2 linked regions of the Drosophila melanogaster genome follow. The protein of the gene in region 1 interacts with the protein of each later gene in a pairwise test. Each region holds a gene or a part of one and is shown in the gene's direction. Other genes may lie near its edges. The genes, in order: CG7102 and GABA-B-R2.

Region 1 (9,961 bases):
TAACTCTAGAATGCAACAACGAATGTAATTTTACATGATGTACAGAAAAGTGGGCACATGTCAAATTACCATGTTCTGTGAATGAACACTAGGTGTCGCACCACAGTTGTGAAGAATTTCAAAGTAAAATGAAGAAAGATCATTTAGGCCATATTCCTTAAGTTAACGTCTGAATGCATTTTAGATCCATTCATAATGGATTTTTCACGAGTCTATGATGAATCGAAATTCACTTTTGCAGGTATATAAATAGAGGCTGTCGGATTTCTTGCAGTTTTTAGCAATCATGCAGGGAAATAATAAAATAAAATATTTAGGTGAGTTCAAATATAAATGAAAGCACTCTTCTAACTCTAAACCTAATTGATTCAATGCTCTTGTCAAAGTTCTGCTTTTAATTGCCACTTCAGTGTTGGGTAAATTCAAGCTAAATCTTCTCGAACTTGTAATGGATAAGGCAGAAAGTAATTTTATTGCTTCGCCTCTATGCATCGAAATTGGAATAAGCATGATCTTAATGGGAGCTAAAGGAACAACCGCCGAGGAACTAAGAAGCGTTCTTGACCTACCAGTGGATGTGACAGAAATGGCCAAGAAATACGAAAGGATTATGTCTAATTTCCAAAAACATAATGGGCTTCGTTTTACAAATTGGCTTTATGTCAATGAGACATATGAAGTAAGGCAGGATTACAACACGTTAATGAAGAGCACCTTCATGGCAGAGGGCAAAGACCCGTTAAGTCAAAGAAAGGCTAGCAACAGTATCAGCTTTTCGATTCATCGGAAGAGTCACAAGGGCATGCGCACTATTTCTAATGATCATAACCTGCAAATTAATGAAAGTGCAGTGTTAGTTAACACCGTCTACTATAGCGGCGCTTGGAAAACTAGGTTTAGTAAAAAGGACACCAAGCTAAAAGTATTCCATGGAGATCATAATAAAAAAGTTTATGTCAGGATGATGTCCCATGTGGGCAGATTTAGGATTGCTGATCACTCTTATGGACAAATCATTGAGATGCCGTTTGATAACTCAGACCTGTCAATGATAATCGGTCTGCCATTGCATAACACATATCTAAGCTCTATTGAAAAAATACTTAGAACACTCTCAGAGAGCCTAGTAGAAAACAATGTTCATGTGGAACTGCCAAAGTTTAAAATCAAATATCAGACGGAACTAGTTGAATCCCTAAAAAAAGTGGGTAGGACCTGTTGAAAATGCTATCATTTTTACAATGTTTTAAGTTTCAGTTGGGCATACACCTTATCTTCAGCAATACCTCGGATCTCAGCGGCCTTCTGACCAACGGTACAGGTGCCAAAATTAACCATGTGGTACACAAATCCTTTATTGAGATCAACGAAAGGGGAGCATCGACAGGAGAAGCGTCAGACCACGCAGAGTCTATCCAAAGTACATTATGACTAATTTTTTTTATAGATCACCTCATCCACTGATTTCATCTTTTTTCTTTGCCAGAAAAAACAAGAGCATCGACGTCCTTTAAAGTCAATCGTCCTTTTGTCTTCTTGATTCGCGACAAGCATACCGTCTACTTCCGCGGACGCGTCGTTCGACTGCCTAACGAATTACATCTTTAAGGCAATGTTTTGTTTTCTAGTCACTTGAAACAACGAAGTTAAAAAATAATTAAACCCATTGCTTCTCTTACTGAACATATCTTAAAAATGGTATGAAAATTCCATTTTTGTAGAGAAACTGTTTTTTTACTTGAAAATATTGTTTAACAGCGTAGATAATGGATTTAATGTTCTATAACAAATCAGTGCTCTCGAAAACCTTAAATCATGAGGCTTTTACTTTTAGTTTCCAATGACCTTACTTGCAGAGAGTATAGCATGAAGTACTTGTGTGAGTAGCGCCATTTTTTCTAATCGCTCACCTTTGACTCTTTTCCTTTTCCAAAGGTTGGATCTTAGTGACCACGTCAGTGCTAGGTCAATTCACCAAGCAACTTTACCGAAGCTTTTTGCAGGATAATAAACAATATAACATCATTGCCTCGCCTCTTTGCGTCGAGATTGGAATGAGCATGATCCTCATGGGAGCGGATGGAAATACAGCCAATGAACTGAGGACGGCTCTGAATCTGCCAGAGGATAAAAAGAATGTAGCTACTATATATGATAAGCTTTTGACTAAACTCGAAAGGGGCAAGAAGGTAGCCATTCTCCACTTGGCGAATCGCTTGTTTGTCAACGAAACAATTGGTGTTAACAAGCGCTACAATAAACTAGTCAATAAGCACTTTAGGGCCGAGGCAGAAGCCATTAAGCTGGCCGATCGATTGAAGGCAGCCTGGGCTATAAACGATTGGGTGCTCGACCAGACACTAGATAATGTGAAAGACATTATAATACCCAGTGACTTGACGCCCGATGAAAGTGCGGTCATGATCAACGCAGCTTTCTTCAAGGGCTACTGGAAGACGCGATTCGATAAGATGAACACCAAGCCCAAGGTATTCTATGTATCCAAAAGTTACCAAGTAAATGTCAATATGATGTCGCAAGTGGGTCGATTTAAGATGCGTACTTCGACCATAGACCAAATTATTGAGCTTCCATTTGCATACTCAAACCTTTCAATGGTAATCGTTCTGCCCAAGGACAATGGGTCCCTAACTCAGGCAGAAGCCACAATCGAAAGTTACCCTCAGATAGTTCTCACTGAAATGGATGTACATGTGCAGCTTCCTAAATTTAAAATCGATTTCCGCATGGAGCTCGTCGAAACTCTTAAAAGCGTTAGTAGATTCTGCTCACCTTATTTAATATACTACATGTTTCTAAATTTGCAGATGGGAATACAGGATCTCTTCAATAGTTCGTCGGATATCAGCGTCCTACTGAACCAGTCTGGCACTAGAATCAGCCAAGTCGTACACAAAGCCTTTATAGAGATTGACGAAGAAGGCGGGTCCGCAGGATCCGCTTCTGCGAGCCCCATTCGAGGATTATCTGGTAAATTATGGCACATTTGTATCATGTTCCTGCTTGATTGCCTGTGGTATTTTTCAGATTATGCGACTAGTGTGGTTACTTTTACAGTCAATAGTCCCTTTGTCTTCATGATTCGCGATGATGACAACATATATTTCCGTGGCCGAGTCGTTGATCCTTTGAAGAAGAGCAATCCCATTGACCGTATAACCATATAGAATGTAACGGGTATCTAATAGTCGAGAAACTCTACACCATTTTATCTATTGCGCAAAGTGAATTTTTGCGAATACAATAAAGAAAAATTCGTCTCGTCCTTAATTAGTTTCATTCATAAATGAAAATTTCTATAGCATTCGCTATAAAAAGTCTCTCAAAAAAGATAACACTGAGAGAGAGCGGAATGGAGAAAAGCAAAACAAAAACTAATCCCGTTTACCTGCTTGGGAGAAACACTGAGAAAGATCCAAAAGAGCAACCTGTCCCAAGTCTCTTCTTCAGTCTTTAGCAAATCGTGATCGCGAGAAGAACGACCAGCGGTCAAAGAAAATCAGATTTCGCGGAGGAAAGGTCGAAATTGTTTGAAAAAACGCTTAGTTTGCAGCTGTGTAAAATAAATAGTGCACAATATTACTATTACAATAATATTTGTAGAAAAGTTATACCATTTAATCTTGTTGCAATTGTTTCCCAGGCCATATTGTTTGCCAAATCGATTGTGGCTTGGTGTCGGCCAAGAATTTTCAGCCAGGAACCGGTTTCTGCGCTCCCACGAATCCAGCGATTAAAAGAGAGAAATAAAGAGAGTTTCCAAGTTGAAAACATAAACAAACCCAATCGCAAAATAATAACAAAACCCAGTGCTTGCAGAGGGACAAGGCAACACGTGCACTTCTGCACGAATGATTGCAATTTTTTGAGCCCAAGAATACCGCACTTAATAATAAAAATCAATCATGAGTCTGCCCCAGTTGATCGAGGATCTGCAGCGCCTTTCCGAGGATCAGGATAGTGCAGATGTGGTATTCATTTGTGGCAGAGATGAGCGCATATATGCCCATAGATTAATGCTAATGGCTCGGTAAGTTAAATTGTTTTTTCAAACAAATACTTAAGAGATTAATAAATTTTGGTGATACCTTAAAATCTTATAAATGCCAATAACTGTATAATTTTTCTCTGTGGAATAAGATAATTGCCTACGGTTGCCTTTTTCGGAATCTTACAATGTTGCGTGCTGGAATCCCGGGTATTCCAGTTGGTCACTTAATTAATTTGTCTTGCCTTTCCATTCACTCAATTCGATTTCAGGTGCAAGAGCTTCAAGACTGCGAAGAGAGGTGAAGTGTGTCGAATTCCCGGATGCACAGTATCGCCAGCAGCCCCAGGAGCTTCAACTCCGACCACCATACGATTACCACACGTGAATCCGGAACTATTCAGGCAGTTCATCTTGTACGTTTACACCGCAAAGGTAAGAAAACTACTTATTAGTAACATCTAACATAATAAAATTATAACCAAAATTCATTTTTCAGTTGGTTCTCCAGGACTCGCAAGTATTTCAAATGATGATATTGGCACAGGATATCGGTGTGGTTGAGCTACGAACTGCCTGCGAGGATCACGTTATATCGACATTGTCGGTGGATAATGCCTGCACATTTTTAACCGCCGTTATGGATATACACGAAAAAGCAGGTTAGTAATATTGAGTAGCTCTTTTAGAAAATCACACCTTTAAAAGTAAGCAATTATGTGAAGTTGCATATTCGCGCCAAAACACTTTATACATTCTACATAATATGCTATGTCAAATGTATTGAGACTAACCATTCTGAAAGTTTTGGTATTTTTTGTACCACATCACATATCGATAAGAAAAAACATATGCACGTTGTGTTATCAGAATCACGTAACACGCAATGCATGTTTTTATTGCATTATCAAACTTTAGATATAACAACTAATCAATAGCTGGCAGATATAGTTAGTCCCAAGCTGCTCCAAAATGCAGAAGCCGATTCGTGTGTTTAGAACTTGGATTGTTCACGTTGTATTCTTTGGCCGTACACCCGAGAAATGAGGTTCCACGAGTCCATAAACCGGTCCATGCACATGGAAATGCATTTCTAAATTGGATATTAATGAAATACTATTTAAATACATATTCTATAGTGCAAAATAAGATATGTATAGCTTGCCTGTTCGGACGAATCGAGGGAAGTTCCCGGCTTATTGACACATTTTTTGAAGCACTTTTCGGTCATTTGCGTGAGCAATTCCTGGGCATTCGCAACAGCAATCTGTTGCTTAACCTGGTCCATAAGTTCACCTTTGTCCACATTAGCCATAGCCATTTGTTTGGTTTTCTTTATAAACTATAGTTTAATTCAGCTATGAATAAATGGCAACAACTTCTGCCCAACCACAAAAACTTAACAGTGCGATTGTGATAGTGTTTCTATCGATATGGTTATGCTACCAGAGGATTTACCATTTTGGTATCTTTAGGCTGGTCGATAGTTCGGTAGGCCGCGATTATGTGTGACCATCTGTGCTGTGCCATCGATATTTCTGCCTATCGCCTGGACGAAAAGAAGACGCCGGCAAAAAGAAGCGAAAATTTGTTTAACTCAAATTAAGTCGTCGGAAATCAGCAAAAATGTCGTTCAAAGGAAATCCCAAGGTGCAGAAGGTGATGGTGCAGCCCATCAACCTGATCTTCCGTTACCTGCAGAACCGGTCCCGCGTGCAAGTTTGGTTATACGAGAACATATCGCTGCGCATCGAGGGCCACATTGTGGGATTCGATGAGTACATGAATCTGGTGCTGGACGACGCCGAGGAAGTCTATGTGAAGACCCGGCAGCGCCGCAACCTCGGGAGGATCATGCTCAAGGGCGACAACATCACGCTCATACAGAACGTCAGTCCCACGAAGGACTAGGCGACTCAGCGGCCATCCTGCGAATCCTTCGAATTCCACCTGCAAACGCTGAACGCCCTTAATATAAGTAAAATAAATGTAAAGCCGATATCTGAAGACGAATGTTGAAATAAATGGTAGACTTTCTGTAATCAAGTGTTTCTAATGGGTAAGGTAGCAAATACGATCCGATTTCAGGACATATAGAATAGGATGCTGTCTCAAGGTAAAAGCCGTTGAGTGTCTTTAAAAAACAAGGAATTAATTTTAAACTTTCCCTTTAAATTTCAGGTGCCAAATGCGCTGCCTCGTTTATGGAACGCTGCATCATCTACATAGGGGAAAATGCAAATGAGTGCGTTAAGACTAATGCCTTCCTTACTTTAACAAAGGATGCCATTATTAAGATTATTTCCTCAGACTATGTAAGAGTTTATAATGAATAACCACTCAATTTACTGAATTTCTTTAATTACCAAAACTGTTAACTACCAATAGTTCTGCTTGGAAGAGGAGGAAGTGTGGCGCTGCGTTTTATCCTGGGCCAAATACCAGGCAGGAGTCACCCAACCCACTGCACATTGGACTGAGGAGGAGCGTGCTCGTGTCTGCCAACACTTAAGCGGTGTAATGGGTCACGTGCGTCTGCTTCTCATCGATAGCCAAGTTTTCGCGGAGGAAGTGGAACCTACAGGAGCTGTACCTATGGAACTATCCCTAGAACGATATCGCTATGCCGCTTTGCATGCCAATAAGATGATGGATAACGATAAGAGACTTCAGCCCCGCCTAGCTGTAGCGGTCAACATGTTTCCCGGATCCCAAATCCTGAAGAATGACAATCTGGCACTACAGACTGTTCTCAATAATTGGGTTGGAGTGGGCAAGCAATCCTGGAGATTAGTTTTCCGAGCGTCCACTCATGGCTACGATTCTGGAGCCTTTCATCGTTATTGCGACGGCGTGGCTCCTTGCATGGTTATTGGCTTGGGATCGCATGGAGAGATCAGTGGTGGTTATACGGATGTGGCGTGGGCCAAAACAAGCCGAAAGGGGGGATATGTTCAGTCCGAGCGAGCCTTCCTCTTTGCCTTGAATCCAGCCAATGGGGAACAGCCGGTCAAGTTTGATATTGTAAAGAAACCATATGCCATTTGCTATCATCCTGAGTAAGTGATGTCTAAAATAATCTTATATATTACATTATGTTTAGGAATTCGTACTGATTACCATGTCTGCTTTCCCCTTTAGTTGCGGTCCCATTTTTGGTGCTGGAGCCGATCTGCTCATTTCCAGCAACTGTAATACAAACATGGACTCATACTCGAATCTTCCGCATTCCTACGACGGAACCAACGCTGCTCACCTGACACTTTTCGGGGACTATAACTTTACCATCACCGACTATGAGGTCTATACCCTTTCCTCGCCGGCAGGAAGTAGTAATAGTGGAGCAAATCACAGCAATAATCAGAACCTGAACCACTCAACAAACGGCCAAGCTCCTGGGGTGCCCACAAAGGCAAAATACGATAGATACTAGAATTGGGGAAACAACTTGTAGTTGCATCAGCTATGCTGGCAATAAAACTATTTCCTTGAACGATCCAAACACTCGAATATTGTAATCCCAGATCCGCAACGGCTGGGCTAATGGCATTAGGTGTCGGGTTCATGACTCCGCCCAAGGTAAAAACCAGAAATCGAAAGGTAATTAATGAATTGTTATATAAAGAAAACTTTTTTTGGCGGCTGTCTTGAATTCCATCTTGATGCCAAGAATCGAACCAAATTAATTAACTGGTTTCCCAATTGTATGTAAAGCTGAAAGTGTTAGCAAAAATAAAAAACAAGAGGGCAGCTCCAATAGTTGGTAGTTTTCGCTGAATAAATACTTCAGCATGGTGCCTGGCACGAATGCTGTCACTTCAGCATTTTTCTTTGAACTATGGATTGCACAGCTTGGAAGTAGAGTTTTAATTACAACAAATTTTTAAAACATGACAATCTTGAAATTTCAAGGTTTCATTGCCCTTCTTTTTATTTCGAATATTTACTATTATTTACAAATATTTATTTCGATAAACCCGAATGACACCCTAAATTGTTCAAAACTATTTCAAACATTTCTTTTATCTGCGAAACAATATATTTCCCTTCGGCACGTTCATTAACCCATCACTTAACTCTTGCAGTCACTACTCCATATTGTTACAAATATATAATAGTTATGAATGTGCACTTGAACCTGGTCCACACCTCTTAAATAGTGGAACAATTGACAAAGAAAAACAAATGCGTAAATGGCAATTTCAGTTTGCTGTTTCAGTTCACTTCAGTTGGGCTTATAAGCCATAACAATAATATGTCGGCTAATGTTGAGCTACAATATAATGAAATGTGCGGCAACACCTCCCTAACACCCGCCGTCGGAAATGCTGAAGTTGCTCTCGACTGGTTTTCAACTACTTTTCAAAATGCTTCTGATAAATTGGTCCACGCTCTAAATTGGTTCTAATTAAAGCTTTTTTTATGCTGATCGAATCGATCAACATCGGTGGCTTGGGCCCCCACATTTTTGTCATTCGTTTCGATCCGGGGATTGGACATCCGAAACCCCGAGTAAAAACCTAAACAGAACCCTCGACAATGGCAGCCAGCAACAAACACTTGATGTTTGTGGCGTTTTATTTTATTGTGGCTGCACAACGGATTGGCAGTCAAAATTTGTTAACGACTTAAGGCCACAGCTCGAGAGCCACCTTTCGATAAGGTCTACAAATTGTTGCCGGCGCTGTTTCACTTCTCTTTGACAGACCCCGGGGGCGATTTAATGTCCAGGTCCAGGCGCTAGAAGGAATGTCATTTATAGATCTCGATTCAGTTCGATTTCGCGTCAAATATATTTGATTGTCGAGTGGTTTCGGATTGGATTTTGGAGCCATGGATTCGTTATGCGCCATGTGCCAGCCAACAGCAAAATCCGACCAAGAAGTTTCAATGTCTGTCGCATGAAAAGGGAAAGGCAAAAAAAAAAAATATATAACTAACGCTTAAGTAATTTTTTCGTTTGAACTGATCTATGCGCAAACTTGTTCTGGCCTTATGAAATCGGTTCGGTTCAAATTGCATCTGGGCTTGCAGCGTTTGAAGTGAGAGACTAGGGACGGGCAGGAAGTGCCAGTGTTTTGGATGAATCATTAGCTTCCTCATATGGGAAAAGCTAGAAACAGTTTTAATGGTTCTTCTGGGGAAACGGAAGACAGCCAGGGGTGCCGTGAAGGATAGGAAGTTAATATTTTTGAAATATAAAACGTTTCCGATTTAGACAATTAAAATCCATTCTCTAAATTTGGTATAGATTTGGTGATTTATACACACAGTTTACATTCAAAGTTTTCTTTTAATATGTATAAACATTAAGCCAATTTTTTTATTTTATAGTTCACTTTCCGTCCCTGGCTTTTATGAAAATATGCGATATTTGTTGGGCTTGGTCAGCAGCAACTCCAATAGAACAAAGGCCTGGCTATTAGCCATGGCCATGGTTATGGTTATGACTTGGTCAGCACACAACATTACATTGAGAAAAAATACAAAAATTCAATTCATAAGAAACTTGTTCCTAGAATGCACGTATACCTTATGAAGAAGTACCCCTAATCGAATTAGTAAATTTAAATATGTAAAGGTTTTTCTCAACTTGCCATTTTTCGAAATTCCGTTTATACACTTTTCAATTTTTCAGTTTTTATGTAATTTTTCCAAGTGAACGAGCAGACCAGCAGCTGGCCAAACCCAAGTGTTACAGTTTAAGTGACTTATTTGCATGTAAGAATGCGAAAAAGGAAAAGTGGCTCAAGACACCGCGTGTGACCCTGAAAAGGGGACCAGGGCAAGAGAATCACCCACAGGCCAAGTATATTACCGCATATCCTACATCAGAAAAATTCCCCACTCGTAACTGATTCATCCATCAAACAGGAGACACCATTAAAGGGCGTTTTTCCCAGAAAAAATCATGTCCAAGATAAGATCATAGCACGTTGAGGCTGTTTTATC
Region 2 (11,464 bases), on another chromosome or scaffold:
TGGAGGTCGTCGCGAGTCCCAGCTCCGGATCGGCAAGGCCATCAATATATTCCTGCGCTATGGCTACCTGGGAATCTCCATGCGTGTGATACCGCTCAATGACAACTCGGAGCCGGATCGCTGGGTGTTTAAGGAGCCCACCAAAAACATCTATAGGGTAAGGGACTTAAGGCAGAGTTAAGCTTACATTTAATAAATTAAATGGCGTTGATGAACTCGGAATTGTTTGTATTAACCTTTAACCACAATCACCATAATTATTTGGAGTATAATCAAAATTTTAAAATAGGGTTTAAAGTTGTTATCACTTAAAACTATTTTTAGTTGTAATTATATTGTTCACTTCCGCCACGTTTGTCGTTAGAATGAGCGCTTATTATATTTGTTTGATCAGATTTAGGAAAACGATCATTATATACGATTATTCAAGTATGTCACTTGATATTTATTACCTGATAATTGAGCTGACTAGACAATTAGATAATTAATGATTTTTTTCTTTCAGAATCTGAGTGGCCTGGCGGAGAGTCATGAAGACACCACGCCCGGAATCTTTCATGGAGACTTTCACATGGAGTTCTGCGAGAATCGGAGGCAACTGTTCCAGGCCTACTTCCGTGACTTTTCCATTGAGCGAATGGACAAACCGTGGGAGGCATTTACTGGCGGATGGTTTCCGGATAATGCGGCCAAGAAGCTGGGCATCAATACATCTTTCATCCAAGGCGATTACTCGTATGTTTTGGTGAGGGTGGTGCGCTTCAGGGAAACGGGGCGTCTTAACGCTGAGATTCCGGTGCACCAACCCTTGGAGCCGGATGTGCGATCGAGAATGGATCAACTGCAAATCGGAAATATAACTTCCGCAGTGCGATTTATGGAAGATGTGGGCACCCACTACGTAAACTCATACACCACCGGCAATTCGCTGTATCAGGTGTTTGTGTACAGCAGGAAGAACTACAGCATGATCAAGGAGCGAATCAAGAGTAAAGGTCTGAACGGACTGTCCAAGTTGGATCTTTACAACTACTTTGCGCCCTGGTTTGCCGCCCATCTGGGCCAGATTCGATCGGCTAGTGCCAATGCTACAGTGGAAAGATGGGCGAGAAGGAAGCTGCAGTACGAGTACTATGTGGTCAAGTATGTGACCCTGCTGAAACTGCACGGTAATAGTACTCTACTGCGATCCCTGGACTCGCTGCTCGGCAACGATGCCATACTGCAGTTGGACCTCAAGTCGCTGAAGCCCATCTTCCGGGAGGAGCCGGAAAAGGAGAGCTGGTACCACGAGGTTCTCGACAACAATGTGAAGCTCTGGGAGCTTAACATGCCGCAGAGTCATCCCACCCGATAGCTGCATTTTAAATATATATATACTGTGCGATATGTGGCAGCCAAGGATCAATAGTTCCTAGATGCTTAGTTGTAGTTAGGAACCTCTAGTGCGTAGTTAATGTTCTGCCTGTGATAGTTTTAGGTAGTTTAATTGGAACACAGTACACATCCGACTTGCATTTCAGCTAACTAGACCGTAAGATCGCCTTATTGATGTAATAGTTTTGTAAACTTTAATACAAAGTAAAGATAAAAGTAAAAATCTTACTGTTTTCATAACTTGATATTGGCTATTAAAATCTAACTGTTTTCATTACGTAATATTGGCTATGAATATCAAATACTATTTTGAAAGTTTATTTTGAATAATTGATTTTGATTAAGAACCGGTAATCGAAACGGGTAAACGGCTCTACCCGTTTCATCAAGGCTTTCAACCAGACTTATTCTAGTTTTCCACCCTTACGTATTTAGTATATGAATCAAGTATATTTTTAATACCGTGTGGTATATTTCAAACGGTTCAGTTACGCTCATACTGAAATCCGAAATAGCACGTGCGGTTTTTGTATTTTGATTTTGATTTTGGGTGATATATACTGGCATGGATATTTTTTCCAATTGTCCGGGCTTTTGCCCCTCCTGCGGCTCCATTCTGCCCGAGCTTCAAGTCAAGGGCAATGTGATTTGCTACAACTGCAAGAAGGAGTTTCAGCCAGATGGTAAATCCAGAAATTACAACTTTGTTTAATTTATTTAACACTTAAAAATAGTTTACAGCGGCGAGAAGTCCGAGTTTACCATACACTTCAACACCTACGATCCCAGCAAGGTGTTCAACAGGACGAAAAGGGAGTCGGAATCGGACGCGGATGGCCCCGTTGTGGAGAGGAAGTGTCCCAAGTGCAACCACGACAAGATGTCCTATGCCACCCTGCAGCTTCGATCGGCGGACGAAGGCCAGACGGTGTTCTTTACCTGCCTTAAGTGCAAGTAGGTGTCCTGATAAACATATTCCTTCACTTCCACAACTAATCACACACATTCTACCTTGCAGATTCAAAGAATCCGAAAACTCTTAGTTGCTAGCAATGTCCGTGTAAATAGTCCTAGATTAATGAAAATAATCATGCTCGACGGCCTGAGAAATATAGAATTTACCAATTATAATACCTAACCGGTGTCAAACTTGAAGCAGAACCCACCTCGCTGGCCTTGAGTCGGTTTTTGGGATTGTAGACCACCAGATTCGAGACCAGATTGATTTCCACCGCATGTGTGCAGCTGGGAAACAAGTTGTCCCAGTGAATGCCCACGGAGTTGGGAAACCTACGTCAAGAATATTACGGATTAAGTAATCATAGACGGTAAGAATGCCTACCGTATCTTGCTGTAATCCGGCAGAGAAGTCAGCTCTGGCCACTGATTCAGACGTGGGCTGCCCAGAGTGCGAATGATGATGGCTAATTGCTCGATGTCGGTGGTTCCCGCAAACAGGGGCACTCCGCGTAGCATCTCCGCCACAACACAACCTGGATAGCAATAATGTCAGCCATAAGGATATATGTAAACCCATCAAAGAGTCATGGCTAACCTGCCGCCCACATATCCACTCCGGTTCCATACTTCTGGCTGCCAAATAGAATCTCTGGCGCTCGATACCACCGGGTTGAGACCTGAGGCGAATAAAGGCGCGACTCGTCTTCAGGGAAGTACAGACGGGCCAGTCCGAAATCGGCAATCTTAAGCATATCTGTATCGCTGATAAGCAGATTGGCGGGTTTAATATCCCGGTGCATGAGACCCGCTTCATGCAGATATGCAATCCCCTTGAACATTTGGTGTGCAAACTTACGCACCTGCTGGCGGCTCAGGGGATTAACCTCGCTCTTGAGGCGGTTGTACAGAGTGTCCGGCTGGTATTCCAGCACCAAGGAGAGACCAGTTAGGTCAGGATATATATCAATGATGTCCAGAATCTACAATTAGTTACATAATTAACAAATGGAAAATAGATATATGGTATACCTACATATTCAGACTTGCAAAGCTGCAGGGTCTTGATTTCCCTCAAAGTATTTAGGGCTATGTTTCCGAACTTGTTCTTAAGGGCCACCTTCTTGATGGCCACCTCCTTGTTGCGCTGCAGATCGATGGCCTTAAACACGCAGCCATGGACGCCTTCGCCGATTTTCTCAAGCATTTTATAGCGGCTGGGCGCATAGTCCTCCATTATGGTTACTCACAATTTTCAATTTGGTAATTTTCCGAGCAGTTATCTACTTCGTTTTTCGACCCCAGTAGTCCATGGCAACGGGCACAACAATTGCCGGAGTACCAGCTGATGGGACCACCTGTTGCAGGATGTTTACAAGCGCAGTGGGTTTATGGTAATTACGGGGGTTGGAAAGCCTAGGCCAAGGCGGAGCAGTGACAGCTTTCGGTTTAAGGACATGCGCACTTCCTGCCTCGAATTCCTCCTGTCAGACAAATGTCAAGTCAGGGGGATACATAATTTTTCGGACCCTCGCACTGCAAAAGTTCTTCGTTGGCTGAGATTTGATGTAAAATAAGTGTTTCAAATGGCATCGGTAGTGAAATAAAAGCCAGTTCTGGGACTAAGCAAGCTGGTAGGTTCCTAAAAACATGTACACATAAGATTTAAGAGGATGCAACACCTGGAAGATACTCCTTCGCGTTAACGAGCATACTAAATAATGCACGAATCCTTTAGATCATTAAATTGCTTTATAATTACTAAACGTGCCAGCATTGCTGCAGCAATTTGAAGCAATTTTGCTGGCCTGGACTGGCCTTAGCCTTGCTCCACCTGTCCTGTAAAATTGCATGCGAGTGCCAGCAAACACAGGTAGAACGTAGAAAATAATACACACCCACTGGGCGCAGCCTTGCCTCGGCAGCCTTGGCTCACCCGAAACCAACCACTGCCATTCACCACCCACAACTTGGCTCCAAGTTCACGTCCTCGATATGCGCTATTCACATTTAGAATCGTTTTACAGCCCACGCGGTCAACATGTTCCGGCCAAGTTGGTTTCCATTCGCCAGCCTGCTGTTCCTGCTCCTTTGGAGCACCGCCTGTGGCAGGACAGCCAAGAGATCGGACGTCTACATAGCGGGATTCTTCCCGTACGGGGATGGCGTGGAAAACTCCTACACCGGTCGGGGCGTTATGCCCAGTGTAAAGCTCGCCTTGGGTCACGTTAATGAGCATGGAAAGATACTGGCCAACTACAGGCTGCACATGTGGTGGAACGACACTCAGGTGAGTTAGGGTTTAGCTTGAAGATTTCATTAAGTGAATCTCTGATGATGGACTTGTGGTTTTTAAAGTTCAATTAGGTATTTTTTTTAATGTTCATTGGTTCATATTGTAATATCACACCTTTACCTATGCATATTTCCATATATTCTGGAATGTAATTTTGGTTTCCTTTCCAGTGCAATGCTGCTGTGGGCGTAAAGTCCTTCTTCGATATGATGCATTCGGGTCCCAATAAAGTGATGCTCTTCGGCGCTGCGTGCACCCATGTGACCGATCCCATAGCCAAGGCCAGCAAGCACTGGCACCTCACCCAGCTCAGCTACGCGGACACCCATCCCATGTTCACCAAGGATGCGTTTCCGAATTTCTTTCGCGTGGTACCCTCGGAGAATGCCTTTAATGCGCCGCGACTGGCCTTGCTGAAGGAGTTCAATTGGACCAGAGTGGGCACTGTCTACCAGAATGAGCCACGCTATTCGCTGCCCCACAATCACATGGTGGCTGACCTGGATGCCATGGAGGTCGAGGTGGTGGAAACGCAGAGCTTCGTCAACGATGTGGCTGAATCATTGAAGAAACTGCGCGAGAAGGACGTGAGGATCATTCTGGGCAACTTTAACGAGCACTTTGCACGCAAGGCATTCTGTGAGGCTTATAAGTGAGTTGGATATACTAACTTAAGTCTCAATTTAAAATTATTGCAATAAACTCCCTTCCAGATTGGATATGTATGGCAGAGCCTATCAATGGCTGATCATGGCTACCTATTCCACGGATTGGTGGAATGTCACGCAGGACAGCGAGTGCAGTGTGGAGGAGATCGCTACAGCCTTGGAAGGTGCCATTCTAGTGGATCTTTTGCCCTTGTCCACCAGTGGTGACATCACAGTGGCTGGCATTGTTAGTACCAGTAAAGTCTATTAAAATTCTTGTAATAAATTTCATATTTTACTAGACTGCTGATGAGTATCTTGTGGAGTACGACAGACTGCGAGGCACTGAATATTCCCGCTTTCATGGCTATACCTACGATGGTATCTGGGCAGCTGCCCTGGCCATTCAGTATGTGGCCGAAAAGCGAGAGGATCTGCTAACACATTTTGATTATCGCGTGAAGGACTGGGAGAGTGTCTTCCTTGAGGCTCTACGTAATACATCCTTCGAGGGTGTGACGGTAGATAGATAAACAATCCAGTTTTTGCAGTTAAAACATATTTTACATTCTCAAGGGACCCGTGCGTTTCTACAACAACGAGCGCAAGGCCAACATCCTGATCAATCAGTTTCAGCTGGGACAAATGGAAAAGATCGGGGAATACCACTCACAGAAGTCACACTTGGATTTAAGCTTGGGAAAACCAGTCAAATGGGTGGGGAAAACTCCTCCCAAGGATCGCACTTTGATCTACATCGAGCACAGTCAGGTCAATCCAACCATATATATTGTATCGGCTAGTGCTTCGGTCATTGGAGTGATTATTGCCACAGTTTTTCTGGCCTTTAACATTAAGTATCGCAATCAAAGGTGAGCTTAACAATGCTATATTAAACAATTTCGTTTAATAAAATATTGATGTTTTTATAGATACATCAAGATGTCCAGTCCCCATTTGAACAATCTGATCATTGTGGGCTGTATGATGACCTATTTGAGCATCATTTTCCTGGGTCTCGATACCACATTAAGTAGTGTGGCAGCTTTTCCCTATATCTGCACAGCTCGAGCCTGGATCTTGATGGCTGGATTCAGTCTCAGTTTTGGAGCCATGTTCTCGAAGACGTGGCGGGTGCATTCGATATTCACCGATCTGAAGCTCAATAAGAAGGTGATCAAGGACTATCAATTGTTTATGGTTGTGGGCGTGCTTTTGGCCATTGATATAGCCATTATAACCACCTGGCAGATTGCCGATCCCTTTTACCGCGAAACTAAACAGTTGGAACCCTTGGTGAGTGCATTGATAGAACATATTTGAAGTGAAAAATCTAAAATGATTATTATTAACTACAGCATCACGAGAATATTGATGATGTCTTGGTGATCCCCGAAAACGAGTACTGCCAGTCTGAGCACATGACCATATTCGTTAGCATTATTTATGCCTACAAGGGACTGTTGTTGGTGAGTATATAATAAACATTAATTTGTAAGATATCATTATAATAAAGCAATAATTTTTTTCAATAGGTTTTTGGCGCCTTTTTGGCCTGGGAAACTCGACATGTTTCTATACCGGCTCTGAACGATTCCAAGCATATTGGTTTCTCCGTTTATAACGTGTTCATCACTTGTCTGGCCGGAGCGGCTATATCCCTGGTGCTATCGGATCGAAAGGATTTAGTTTTTGTCTTACTCTCGTTTTTTATCATTTTTTGTACGACAGCCACTTTGTGTTTGGTGTTCGTACCGAAAGTAAGACTGGTAGTAAGGAAGTTTTGTAGTTTTTGTAGCTGTTATATGTTACATATAATAATCGTGTAATATGAATGTTGTTTGTCGGCGGTAATAGGCCGATCAGTTGTGGTTAGAGCTTCTTAACTGATCGTACTTTACCGCCAGCTGAGCTGATCTTTCGTCTAGCGTTGATACACCTTGATACAGAAACAACATGTACTCGAAAACAGATCTTAAAATGCTATATAACACTACAGACTAACTATAAACTTGAACTATATAGAACCCACTAAGAGCAGCAGCAAGGTTGTAGGCAAATCCCACTTCCTTGCTGTTGGAATATCTTTAACTATCCTATATTACTGTCCGTAGAGTTGATCCTTCCTAGATGTTGACCGCGTAGTATAATCTTTGGTTAATATTCATGCGAATCGTTTTGCAGTTGGTGGAGCTGAAGCGGAATCCCCAGGGCGTGGTGGACAAACGCGTTAGGGCCACGTTGAGACCCATGTCCAAAAACGGACGCCGGGATTCCTCGGTGTGCGAACTGGAGCAACGATTGCGAGATGTAAAGAACACAAACTGCCGATTCCGAAAGGCGCTGATGGAGAAGGAGAACGAGCTGCAGGCCTTAATCCGCAAGCTGGGACCCGAGGCACGCAAATGGATCGATGGGGTGACCTGCACAGGTGGCTCCAACGTCGGTAGCGAACTGGAGCCCATACTGAACGATGACATTGTTAGGCTCTCAGCTCCACCGGTGCGTCGAGAGATGCCCAGCACCACAGGTGAGTGGCTAAGGAGGGGGATTTCGTAGATATGTTCATGCATTGCAACCCGTTTGTCATAGAAGTTACCGAGATGACGTCCGTGGATAGTGTGACCTCGACTCATGTGGAGATGGATAACTCCTTTGTGTCGGTGCAGTCTACAGTGATGGCGCCATCGCTTCCTCCGTAAGTTCTTAAATTTTGGTCTTAAATACACTCTAATCTATGGATATTCTCCAACAGCAAAAAGAAAAAGCAATCGATTGTAGAGCACCACTCGCATGCCCCTGCTCCAACTATGATGCAGCCCATCCAGCAGCAACTGCAGCAGCACTTACAGCAACATCAGCAGATGCAGCAGCAGCACCTGCAGCAGCAGCAACACCAGCAGATGCAACAGCAACAGCAGCAGCAGCAGCATCATCATCGCCATCTGGAGAAGAGAAACTCGGTGTCCGCTCAGACCGATGATAATATAGGCAGCATCACCAGTACGGCGGGCAAGCGGAGCGGAGGAGACTGCTCCAGCATGCGGGAGAGGCGTCAATCGACCGCCTCCAGGCACTACGACAGTGGCAGCCAGACGCCCACCGCCCGGCCAAAGTACAGCAGCTCGCACCGGAACTCCTCCACCAACATCTCCACATCGCAATCGGAGTTGAGCAACATGTGTCCACACTCAAAGCCCAGTACTCCGGCTGTGATTAAGAGTAAGTTTTCTGCGCGTCTCTTATAATACTATAATACTATCGATTTTCTAATCGAAAATAGCTCCCACTGCCTCCGACCATCGCCGCACCAGCATGGGCTCCGCTCTGAAGTCCAATTTCGTGGTTTCACAGAGTGACCTCTGGGACACGCACACGCTGTCGCACGCCAAGCAGCGCCAGTCGCCGCGGAACTACGCCAGTCCGCAGCGCTGTGCGGAACATCATGGCGGCCACGGGATGACCTATGACCCGAACACCACCTCGCCCATCCAGCGGTCCGTCTCCGAGAAGAACCGCAACAAACATCGGCCAAAACCGCAAAAGGGCACCGTTTGCCAGAGCGAGACGGACAGCGAACGGGAACGAGATCCGCCGCCCAACAGTCAGCCGTGCGTCCAGCCGCGTAAGGTCAGCCGGAGCTCTAACATCCAGCACGCCGCCCACCACCACAGTTCGCCCAATGTGGCGCCCGATAAGCAGCGGAGCAGGCAGCGCGGCAAGCAGGATAGCAGCATCTACGGCGCCAGCAGCGAGACGGAACTGCTCGAGGGCGAGACGGCAATTTTGCCCATCTTCCGGAAACTCCTCACCGAGAAGAGTCCCAACTATCGGGGCCGCAGTGCCGTGGGCCAGAGCTGTCCGAATATATCCATCAAATGCGATATCGTCGAGTACTTGTAGGCGGCGCGAGTCATATGCATTATGCCGTAGTTAAACTCCTATTGTTAGATCCAGTTGCAGTGTAAAGATTATCTTTGTTTTCTTTGGAGTTACGCATCTACATACATACCCTGTGAAGCAGGACACACACCATTTAGTGAACTAGTAGCAATGACATGAGATAGTTGGGAAATAAATTACAATTTAAAATAATCATATATCTGCTGATGTTTCCCTTTCACTGGCATGAGCTTTCAGAGGCACATTTTTCACTGTGTACAAGCAGAAACGGCAACTCTAATTTATTTTAATGAGCAAATGGGCATGGGTATGAGTGCTAAACTGATGGGGGAATCTATTGCAGAGCAATGCGCCGGAAGTGATTGTTGAGTGGACCCTCGTCCGAATAGCCGGCAATTTCCTGTGGTATGATGCCAGACTCCTCAATGGAAGTGCATGGCCGACACATGCACTCCAATGGCGCCTTGGTCAGGACCTTCTTGAATTTACGCTCGCCGGGCTTCACTTTGGGACAGAATAGCGAGACGGCTGCCTCCCGCTCACCAGACTCCTGGCAGCACATGCAGGAACGCTCCATTTGCCAGATCTTACTGCCCGAAACCTAAAGTCATCAGATTATATCAAATTATAATTTATATTTCAAGTATATCAACACCCACCTGGATATAACTGGCACAGCGACCCACGCAGGCGAACGAGGGAATCGGCTTGGGCACACATCCAGGATACTGGAGCACATGGATGACGGGCGTCACCTGACAATCGTCGCCAAGATGCGTAATATCTGGATGGTAAATGGAATCCATTAGAGCGAATAATATGATATTATCAAATGCCTTATCAAATACCATTATCCGTGGCGGCCACAGAGCTATCCGGCTGTGCCGTGCAGAGTTTCAGAATGCTGACCAGGACGCAGTAGAGCAGGATCAGGACGAAGACCTTGTTGTTCTCGTGGCGGAGCAGGTGGCGCAGCATCTCGTCGGCCCGACTGCGAGTGTCCTTTCACGTGGAATGGAAAACGCCACTTGCAGCCGCCGGGCTTTTATAGACCAACTTGGCCAGCGGATGCCGCTCTAATGGCCGCTCGACAGCGTAAATTATGGCCTAATAAAGCAAGGGCCGTCCAAACCTTTTTGCCTAGTAATTGCGTACACGAAAAGGGCATTTCTCCCGCGGCGCACGACCACGGCAATCTCTTTATTTCCCTCACAACTTATTGGCTAATCAGGGCCAGGCCAACATGCTGCCCACTGCTAAAAGCAGAACCACCACCAAGGAAGTGGCTCCCAGGCAGGAGCTACCATTTCTGTCCGCCAGATATTTTACTAAGCCTTCCAAATGGGTTTCCGCCCAGTTAAGGTTTTTTTCCACAGTGACCAGGGACTTGGAGAGCAGCTCTTCCGATTCACCGAAGAACTGGTGATTGCTGTAGTAGAATTCCTTGAGCAACTGCTGTTGCTCCCGGGTGGTGAAGTACTCCGCCATGTCATTGATCACCTCGGCCGTGTCCCGACCAACTCTGGAAGCTGAAAAGCGACAAGGTTAAGTGTTCAATAAACAATCAAACCACACTCTCAGATGATCAAATTATGAAAAATAACTCACTTATACGCTAATTCCATAATGTTTTCGGTAATCATTTCGAAAATTGCCTGAACCAAGTCAGGATTCTCCTCGTACATACGGGCGATACCAATTTTCTTTTGTTCAACACTTTCCGTACCAGAGATGATCATCTTGTGGTAATGGGTTTCGTAGTCTCTCGTGCAGCTGATTGCAGCCCAGAGCATATTCTTTTCGCTAGTGCGATTTTCCAAATAATACTGACCCCACAACATGGTGTATGAGTTGTAATCGGCACCACTGGCGGCACAATAGAACGTTTCCCGGTAATCCGGCGATGGTACTTCATGACCTGTTACGAACTGAACGTTAACCTTTGGCCTGCAATTGCTGGCCTGGTATCTGCACAGCCATTTGATCAGTTTGTTGCGATTGGCCACATCCAGCGGAGTGTAGTATATACGAACATAATAACAATAATAATAACAATAATAATAATAATATTAATAATAATTATAATATGAATCATAATAATAAGTCGACTAATAAGTAAACTTAGGACCACCCTAATTCCTTAGGGTCACCCTAGTAGATCTTTAGATACACCCTAATACTAAATATGCGAATTCAGCATGTACGCCTTTAGGGGTCGCACTCGACTCCCATTGGTTATCGAGTATGAACTACATACTTACATATTGCAGAATTTGCTAGTGTC

The links.
Region 2: the proteins of CG7102 (region 1) and GABA-B-R2 interact in a two-hybrid assay, tested with the Drosophila melanogaster proteins (one large-scale study listed by BioGRID).

Annotation. Positions count from the first base shown.
Region 1 is NT_033779.5:7,881,018-7,890,978, reverse strand, and holds CG7102 (uncharacterized protein), read left to right. Parts: upstream 1-3,465; 5' UTR 3,466-3,926; coding exon 3,927-4,051; intron 4,052-4,281; coding exon 4,282-4,444; intron 4,445-4,508; coding exon 4,509-4,671; intron 4,672-4,869; exon of another isoform or gene 4,870-5,003; coding exon of another isoform or gene 5,004-5,102; intron 5,103-5,174; coding exon of another isoform or gene 5,175-5,330; exon of another isoform or gene 5,331-5,476; intron 5,477-5,528; exon of another isoform or gene 5,529-5,635; coding exon of another isoform or gene 5,636-5,920; exon of another isoform or gene 5,921-6,049; intron 6,050-6,190; coding exon 6,191-6,324; intron 6,325-6,397; coding exon 6,398-7,068; intron 7,069-7,150; coding exon 7,151-7,442; 3' UTR 7,443-7,697; downstream 7,698-9,961. Other genes in the region: Spn28Db (serpin 28Db), read left to right, coding at 287-317, 387-1,204, 1,258-1,420, 1,487-1,608; Spn28Da (serpin 28Da), read left to right, coding at 1,867-1,879, 1,936-2,774, 2,829-2,991, 3,049-3,188; CG34132 (uncharacterized protein), read right to left, coding at 5,004-5,102, 5,175-5,330; small ribonucleoprotein particle protein SmE, read left to right, coding at 5,636-5,920.
Region 2 is NT_033777.3:21,768,245-21,779,708, reverse strand, and holds GABA-B-R2 (metabotropic GABA-B receptor subtype 2), read left to right. Parts: upstream 1-3,868; 5' UTR 3,869-3,968; intron 3,969-4,361; 5' UTR 4,362-4,375; coding exon 4,376-4,624; intron 4,625-4,800; coding exon 4,801-5,282; intron 5,283-5,343; coding exon 5,344-5,524; intron 5,525-5,579; coding exon 5,580-5,798; intron 5,799-5,853; coding exon 5,854-6,149; intron 6,150-6,209; coding exon 6,210-6,573; intron 6,574-6,635; coding exon 6,636-6,746; intron 6,747-6,812; coding exon 6,813-7,049; intron 7,050-7,461; coding exon 7,462-7,807; intron 7,808-7,869; coding exon of another isoform or gene 7,870-7,872; coding exon 7,873-7,975; intron 7,976-8,032; coding exon 8,033-8,499; intron 8,500-8,560; coding exon 8,561-9,180; 3' UTR 9,181-9,376; downstream 9,377-11,464. Other genes in the region: tsl (torso-like), read left to right, coding at 1-157, 506-1,357; Polr1H (RNA polymerase I subunit H), read left to right, coding at 1,943-2,060, 2,112-2,331, 2,396-2,420; CG6800 (uncharacterized protein), read right to left, coding at 2,496-2,667, 2,720-2,870, 2,933-3,317, 3,371-3,571; Burs (bursicon), read right to left, coding at 9,515-9,781, 9,840-9,964, 10,029-10,158.